Sus scrofa: one gene and its partner. The protein of the gene in region 1 binds, or shares a complex with, the protein of each later gene. Links are inferred from orthologs where the notes say so. Each region holds a gene or a part of one and is shown in the gene's direction. Other genes may lie near its edges. The genes, in order: CEP152 and CEP63.

Region 1 (4,400 bases):
AGAAGCAAAGTAAGTGTCTCAAGATATTGACGCTGGACTGAGTGAAAGATTACACAGCAACTAATTATAGTAGATAATGAGGATTATAATGAGATGAATACACCATATCCAGAGGGGAGAAGGATCATTTCTACCAAGGTTGGGAGGTATGTGTCATCAAAGACTTCAGGGGATGTGCTCATCTATCTTGGAGACTGAGTAGCTGGGGAAGTTAAGTAGGGGCACTGTAGGTGAAAGATAGAGTTTGAGCAAACCAAAAGCATTCTGAGAACCTCAGGGAGCCAGGCCAGAGGTTTCATTCATCTAGTGCTATGGACTGAGTGCATTTTATGTGCCAGGCCCTTATGCTTAGTTGATGGGGTTGCAGTGGTTCGTGTTGGTATCCAAAAGTGGAATGGTGAGGTAGCAAAGGAAAACGAGCCAGACTATGGACAACTTTTAACAACTATTTTACTCTATACTAGTGTATATGGGAAAGAATTAAAACTAGTGTGAACTTACTGCTACCAACTCCATGAGCGTCTCTGGGAAAACCCCCCGCCCGCGTCCCCATCTCCCGCTCGCCTCCCCCACCTCCCGCTTCCCACCCCCCAGCCGCCCACGGCGATAGGGATCAATTTCGAGCCGAGCCACGAATTACTAAGCTGCAGCTGCGGCAATGCCAGTTCCTTTAACCCACTGTGCCGGGCTAAGGATGGAACCTGCCTCCCAGAGTTCCCAAGATGCTGCCGATCCCATTGCACTACAGCAGGAGCTCTTCTGAGACCCTTTTATCCCAGGAAGGTAGATACCGTAATGGGATTTATTCCGGACTGGAGAGCATTGTCTTAAAGGTCAGGTTAACATATACCTGAGTGACAGGAACATTCACACTCTAGGAAATTCAAGTAGTCAATAAACACGTGTCATCCCATCAGTAATTAAAGAAACACAAATTCAAACAAGGTGGGATCTAGTAAGCAAGAAGACAAAGTGAAACAACCTCTAAGGCTGTTAAGGCAATTTAGAGAATCTGAAGGATAGATACAAAAACCTCCAAGGTGGATTCGGTGGGGGAAGCGAAGGATTCTGTGTACCGCTCTTGAGAACTGATATTTAGGAGTGGGGAGCGCGGAGGGCAGGAGCATTGCACCAGGTGGGGTTGGGTAAGACCAGTTCACAGGCAGGAGGCCAGGTGCTAGGGCGTCTCTATGCAACCGATAAACCCGCCCCCTCTGCAGTGAACCCTTTTGTAATTGGCTCACAAGTCCACCAATGGACGCACAGGAGGAACTTCCCGCCACCTCTGGCGCCCGCTTTTAAACAGCCGTATAGTATTTGCAACTGCAGGCGGACTTCTCAACCTAGCTTGAGAAAGGAGGAGACTTCCGCCCCCTCGCCCTGCCCCCAGCCGCCATGGCCCCCCCTACTAGGCCAGCTACTACCCGGCGATTGAAGGGGGAGGCTGCTCTTCAATGGCTTCAGGCCTCCAGTGTTCGGTTGTGACTAGGAAGAAGCTAGCGGATTAGAGCCAGGGCGAGGGGTTTGCTAGAGGCTGGTCTTCCACCAGAGCTAAGGTGACTCTACGTTGACAGCATCTGTGGCCTCCGGTGAGTTTCGCTTCGGGGATGGGCTTGCGGCAGGGGTAGGAGGAGGTGCGGAGTCCTTGGGATTCTGGCTGGGGCTTCTGGGTGGATTAACCCGCCCCCTCCCCAAATACTGCAGTGGTGTACTGCTCGGGGTGGCGGGACTCAGTCTCTGAAGTGTCATCCAGACCCCAAGATCCTACTTAGAAGTGACGTCTTAGAAGCCCTCCTTGCCTCCTCTACGCCGCTAGAGTAGCCCTGAGACTCTACCCTGGGGACCCCCGCCGTGGTTCGTCTGGCGCTGTGCCTGGCTCACAGTGGGTGCTCTGTACACGTGTGTTGACCGAGTGCCTGTGACGCCGGCAGCCCAAGTCAGCAGCCCCAGGATGCACCCTGGGGTCTTGCAGTTTCGTTTTCTCGGTATCTGTTTTTACCGTGGTTGACGCCAAAAGGAGTTCTTTGGTAAGGTCATTGGTTTATTCTTCGTTCAGCTTGTGGGTGCCTACCCGCTGCATCCTCTGGGCACCCTGAGTATATTTGTCCGAAATGCTCTCATTAGCACTGATCAGATTATTGTCATCATTTTTATATACATCTGTTTTCTTTCCCTCCGCCAAGCCCTGTTGAACTTTGTGATCTTGAACAGTGCTTGGCAAATAATTGTGGAATGAATAAATAGATGCCTCCTAAGCCTGCTATTCCAAGTCTGAAACATCAGGCTAGTGTGCTCTGGCTGTTTTCATTCTAGAAAGGAAGCTAGTATGTAATCAAGTAAGTAGAATTTCCTAACTCTCAAGGCCCCCTTTGTGGCACTTAACCTTTTCTATTTTATGGTCGCGAATTTGAGTCTATTTAAGCTGAATTTTGCCATCTACTTCACAATGTGTAACAATTTGTATCCACTGCTTAGACGTGAATATACTCAACTAAATGAGAAGTTGAAATTGGAGCCATAAGAAAAGTGTAAGAAATACAGCCTGGAGTTCCTGTCGTGGCTCAGTGGTTAACAAAACCCGACTAGTATCCATGAGGACGCGGGTTCAATCCCTGGCTCAGTAGGTTAAGAATCCAGTGTTGCTGTGAGCTGTGGTGTAGGTCTCAGACGCGGCTGGAATCCAGCGTTGCTGTGCTGTAGGCCCGCGGCTACAGCTCCATTTGGTCCCCTATTCTGGGGACCTCCATACGCAGCGGGGTGCGGCCCTAAAAAAGAAGAAAAGGAAAAAAAAAAAAAAAAGCCTGAAAGTGCCAAAGAGTGATTAATTTCACGAGGGAACAGGATTGGGAGGGCTTGTTGAAGGCAGTGGTATTTTCATCCCAGAAGATGTTGCATTATTTGAAGGAAGATTTCCCAGAGGCTGCACAGTCATCTTTTTCCAGGTGTACTGAATGTTACTCGTTCCTTGAACCGTTTTTATAGCTGGCAGACCTCTATTCATCAGTAAGGAGGTCATAATAATAACAAAACAAAAATGTATTGATTGGTACAGTGTGAAACACTTATATACATTAATCTTGTGAATCCTCATGACCAATCTTTGAGGTAGGTACTGTTTCTGCCCCCCACTTAATTAATGAAGAAATGGAAACAGTTTGTGCAGTTTAGCACAGCTGATAAACAGGAGAGCCAGAATTGAGCCCAGGCTGTCTCAATGAGTGCCCTCATTCTTAACCACTTTCTGTTGTATTGTGTCCTTGAAGATCTATTTCTAAAATCTTTCCTTCTGTGAAACTTCTTTTCTTTTTAGGCATAGATTATTTGTGCTGTGTACTTTTCTGTATTATAGAATTTATTTCAAGGTATCATTGTAACAATTTATATCATTGTTTCCCTAAGAAACTGTAAGCTCCCCATGGCTGGTACCATGTCTTAGATATATCTAGGACATAACCTGGCATGCAGTAGGTGCTCAGTAAAATTTAATAAATCTGTATAGACCAATGCAAATGTATTATATTCATTCATTAAATATCTGTTGTGTGCCTACCATGTGTAAAGGGTGGGTTTGATGCCTACCATTTGTAAAAGGTGGGTTCGATACATTTTAATTCTGCCTCCAAAGTGCTTATACTCCATTAGATGAGGCAAAAACAATGCTACTTTTGCTTTTTAATGTTTTGTTCAGTTCAACACCGATTGGTCTTCTTTCTTATTGCAACGAGGGCAAAGAAAACTTAACCAGGGCCAACAAAATGAGTACTGACTGATACTGAGTTCCACCCATCTGAGTGGGACATATGTCAGAACATAGTCTTGTTAGGTTGAGAAAAAGTTATCTAGAAAGACAGTGATAACCAGCTTACTATTAAAAAAAAGCACTACACTGTGCACTTATTCCACATCTTGATTTTTTAATAATCAGTCTATATATAGAAATATTTTGTTATTTTTGTTAGTGACATAGTACTGTCAAATTTATTCAAAAGTACTTTTACTAGAGCAAATGTTCTTTTTCAGTGTATTAATATTGATAGTTTTCAAGATGGTTTTCCAGTTTGTACTTTTTATCAGCATTTCATATGGATGCCTGTTTCCTATAAAATAGCCACCACTCAGTATTATCAAGGGTTTTTTTTTTTTTTTCAGTTTAGCTGTTGAAAATCATATTTCATTGTTTAAATGACACCTTGAGTTCTTCCTGAGCTTAAGCATCTTTTCAAGTTCATGGAGCACTTATGTCGTATCATCTGCCCATTTAAAATTGGATTATTTGTCTTTTTCTCATTTATCTGTGAGAATTGTATGTTGAAACTTTCTCTTGTGTTTTGCAAATATTTTTCTCATTATTATTATTTTGACAATGTGTTTGTTATACATAATATTGGAATTGTTAATGA
Region 2 (3,817 bases), on another chromosome or scaffold:
ACAAAAATGGTTATTTCAGTGTTGTTTGCAATAACCAAAATTTTGGAAAAAAACCAAAATGTTAATCTATAGAGGGATGGTTAATTGTGACTTTCTATACTAGGAAATATTATGCCATCATTTAAGATGGCAGATGAGCATATGCAACTAATCATGTTCCCTCCCCAAATCCCTCCTATAATGAAAGGATTTTTTTTTTTTTTTTTTTTTTTTTAAAGCACAAACCTATAAGGATGGGAAAAGTGGGAGAGGAGACAATAGCTAAACATTCTGTAAGGGGGGAAGATGGGTGGGTGGATGGATAGAAGGAGGGAAGGAAAGAACAATGGAGGGAAGGAAAATGACTTTATATGCACTGATAAGGCCAGTACTAAGCTAAAGTGGTGGAGAAAACCAAGAACCAACCTGATTTGCACAGAATCTTCAAAAGGCTCAGCATTTGGCAATGTGTGAACACAGTGATTACCTGTTCATATTTGAGAGTTGGGAACTCTGAGAGTGCTTAAGCCAGCTATGACCAGAGATTCTGTTCACTTTAGTTTATTCTGAAACTTCTGTCTAACGGTGCTAATACTATCCTTTCTTGACACAGCCAGGTATGTGCTTGCTATGCGCCTTTCTTATTACCTTTCACATTCATTTAACTGTAGTTGTTGTTAATAAAATAATATATTTGAGAAATGTTTAAAAGATGCCTGCCTGGCAAAGGCAAACATTATCTTCTCTTAAAATGTACGTTTAATGACATCAGACATTACTCTGGTGCGAAATACCATCAGCGGTTTAAACTTTCTCTGGTGTTGAAGATACATACCATGTAAACATGGTATATGTATTAAGAACAATTATTAGAAAGTGCCTTTTTTTTTTGGGAGTTCCCGTCGTGGCGCAGTGGTTAACGAATCCGACTAGGAACCATGAGGTTGCGGGTTCGGTCCCTGCCCTTGCTCAGTGGGTTAACAATCCGGCGTTGCCGTGAGCTGTGGTGTAGGTTGCAGACGCGGCTCGGATCCTGCGCTGCTGTGGCTCTGGCATAGGCCGGCGGCTACAGCTCCGATTGGACCCCTAGCCTGGGAACCTCCATATGCCGCGGGAGCGGCCCAAGAAATAGCAACAACAACAACAACAACAACAAAAATTAAAAAAAAAAAAAAAAAAAGAAAGTGCCTTTTTGCATTTGACCATCTAGGAAGGTGGGAATTACTTTTACAAATTAATATTTTGGCTAAATAACTGTTTTAATAAAATTATCTAATTATCCTAATGAAAACAATAGCTCTGATTATTTACCATATTAAAAAAATTGACTGTAGTTTATAATTTAACTCCTATGTCCTGCAAATTTCCTTTGAGATTTTATCTGTCATCAGCAACTTATTAAAAGATTTCGTAACTTATTGTCACTAGTGGTATAGGTAGTTAAAAAGTTGTATTTTAAGATTTATGTTTTCATTAGGTACATTCTGTTTGTCAAAGCACTGTGGAGCAGCTTACTTTCAGAAAATTCTTTATAGAAAAGACCAAGCTAAACATCCTATAAAATTCCAAAGAAGATAATCATAGGAGTTCCCATTGTGGCTTGGTGGTAATGAACTCAACTAGTATCCATGAGGATGTGGATTTGATCCCTGGTCTCACTCAGTGGGTTGAGGATCTGGAATTGCCACAAGCTGTGGTGTAGGTTTGCAGATGTGGTTGGATCCTGAGTTGCTGTGGTATAGGCCAGCAGCTACAGCTCCAATTTTACCCCTCGCCTGGGAACTTCCATATGCTGCCAGTGTAGCCCTAAAAAGCAAAAAAAGAAAAAAAAAAAAAAAAACCATAAATTTTCAGAATGCTAATGAAAATATTTTATCATTAGAAAACAATGGTCCAGGAGTTCCCGTCGCGGCGCAGTGGTTAACGAATCCGACTAGGAACCATGAGGTTGCGGGTTCGATCCCTGCCCTTGCTCAGTGGGTCAAGGTTCCGGCGTTGCCGTGAGCTGTGGTGTAGGTCGCAGACGCGGCTCGGATCCTGCGTTGCTGTGGCTCTGGCGTAGGCTGGCAGCTACAGCTCCGATTCGACCCCTAGCCCGGGAACCTCCACATGCCGCAGGAGTGGCCCAAGAAATGGCAAAAAGACAAAAAGAAAAAAAAAAAGAAAGAAAACAATGGTCCATCTAGACTCCTGTTTTTTCAGGTACTATATTACCAGAAAACACCTAGAATTGAAGAGGAATAAAATTTATAATCATAGAACTTTGACCAGATTGCAGTAGTAATTTCTGCGTTACCCTTGAATACTGCTTTATCATATCCAAATTTATTTCATATGCCAGAATAGGTGCCAATATTATGTAAACATCTATAAGACCAGAGAATAATTTATTTAAAATTTGTCCCTGCCAGCCAGAATTGCTGTTCAGAACCTTATGTTCAAATTTCTTTCTTTGAAATAGATCTCTCGATTTTTTTCCACAGGTATTCTGGGACTATTTAACCTTCTCTCTCTCTTTTTTTAATTAGTAGCTTTTTAAAAAATTATAGTTGTATATATATAATTACAATATTAAAGTGTACATACAACATACTGATTCAGCATTTTTATAGATTATACTGTTTAAAGTCATAAAATAATGGCCCTATTCCCTGTGCTGTACAGTAATATACCTTTGTAGCTTATTTATTTTATACTTTTTGTGTCTCTTTTTCCCCTGCTCCTATCTTGCCCCTTTCCTTTCCACTCCCCATTGGTAACCACTATTTTGTTCTCTGTATCTCTGAGTCTGTTTCTGTTCATTTATTTGTTTTATTTTTGAAATAAATGTGAGATATATAGATATATATGCGATAACGTAAATGATAACATAAGTCTTTGTATTTCTCTGTTTGACTTATTTCACTAAGCTCAACCTTCTCTTTCTTGAAGGAGAATCCCTGGCTACTATTTTCTTTCTTTTCCCCTATTTTTGATTCTCATTTATACCTTTCTTCAGTCATACTCCCAGCCTTCTCTAGCTCCTTCGATATTCCTTGGCACATCAGGGTGGCCCACTGTGCTCCTCATTTTCTACCCCCATTTACTATAAGAAACAGAATGCTTTTTCTCTTTTAGGGGGCCAAAACCAAACCTTCACGTTTTCCTACAGAAAGTCATAGATTGAGTAGTTACAGCTAAAAAAATGTTATTTTCTGCTATCAGTATCACAGATCACAAGTATTCTTATACAAATGAAGTGACTCCAGTATTCTTTTTTTATTAGGCAAAAGAGATTTCACTAGCAGACCTCCAGGAGAATTATATTGAGGCATTAAATAAATTAGTGTCTGAAAATCAACAACTACAGAAAGATTTGATGGATACCAAATCCCAGCTGGAGATTTCTACTCAGATGTGCAAAAAAAACCATGACAGGATCTTTAAACCAACACATAGCAGAATACCTGTGTTCAAGTAAAATTTCTTCATGGTTTATTTAAAATGTGTATCTTTATAATTCTCATTTCTTTGAGAATATTTTCCGATTTATGGAAATTAAATCTTCATCACAAGACTCTCTACTTAATTCTGAAGTACATTGTGCACAAGTAAAGCTACTATTAGGTAAAAAAATGCAGGGAGTTACATAGCACTTTCATTCAAGCCTCGGTTTTAGACTCTCTGGATGTAGGTATAAACAGCAGCCTTTCCCCCGAGCCTTTTCATGCCCCTCCCACCTCTCCAACCCCACTAGTCCTATAAGAAGTAGAAGTTGACTTTTTATAAACAGCTTCTTTTGTATTTTTGGTCAACTAATGATAGACTGTTACCTAAGAAAACAGCATTCAATGAAATA

What was found.
Region 2: the proteins of CEP152 (region 1) and CEP63 are in contact, whole or in part, in a crystal structure (PDB 6CSU), measured with the Homo sapiens proteins. The link is inferred for Sus scrofa from reciprocal best matches to the Homo sapiens genes CEP152 and CEP63. Residues at the interface, in NP_001181927.1 of Homo sapiens: Gly1261, Ala1262, Glu1265, Leu1266, Gln1269, Tyr1270, Lys1272, Ala1273, Lys1276, Ile1277, Asp1280, Met1281, Tyr1284, Glu1287, Ser1288, Arg1291, Ala1292, Met1295, Ala1298, Arg1302; in NP_001340037.1 of Homo sapiens: Phe666, Glu669, Glu670, Arg673, Ile677, Arg680, Leu681, His684, Glu687, Leu688, Glu691, Ser692, Thr695, Phe699.

What each region holds. Positions count from the first base shown.
Region 1 is NC_010443.5:122,874,816-122,879,215, forward strand, and holds the start of CEP152 (centrosomal protein of 152 kDa), read left to right. Parts: upstream 1-1,330; 5' UTR 1,331-1,589; intron 1,590-1,648; exon of another isoform or gene 1,649-2,027; intron 2,028-4,400. UniProt on the Homo sapiens protein: Necessary for centrosome duplication; the function also seems to involve CEP63, CDK5RAP2 and WDR62 through a stepwise assembled complex at the centrosome that recruits CDK2 required for centriole duplication.
Region 2 is NC_010455.5:75,700,036-75,703,852, forward strand, and holds part of CEP63 (centrosomal protein of 63 kDa), read left to right. Parts: intron 1-3,244; coding exon 3,245-3,435; intron 3,436-3,817. UniProt on the Homo sapiens protein: Required for normal spindle assembly.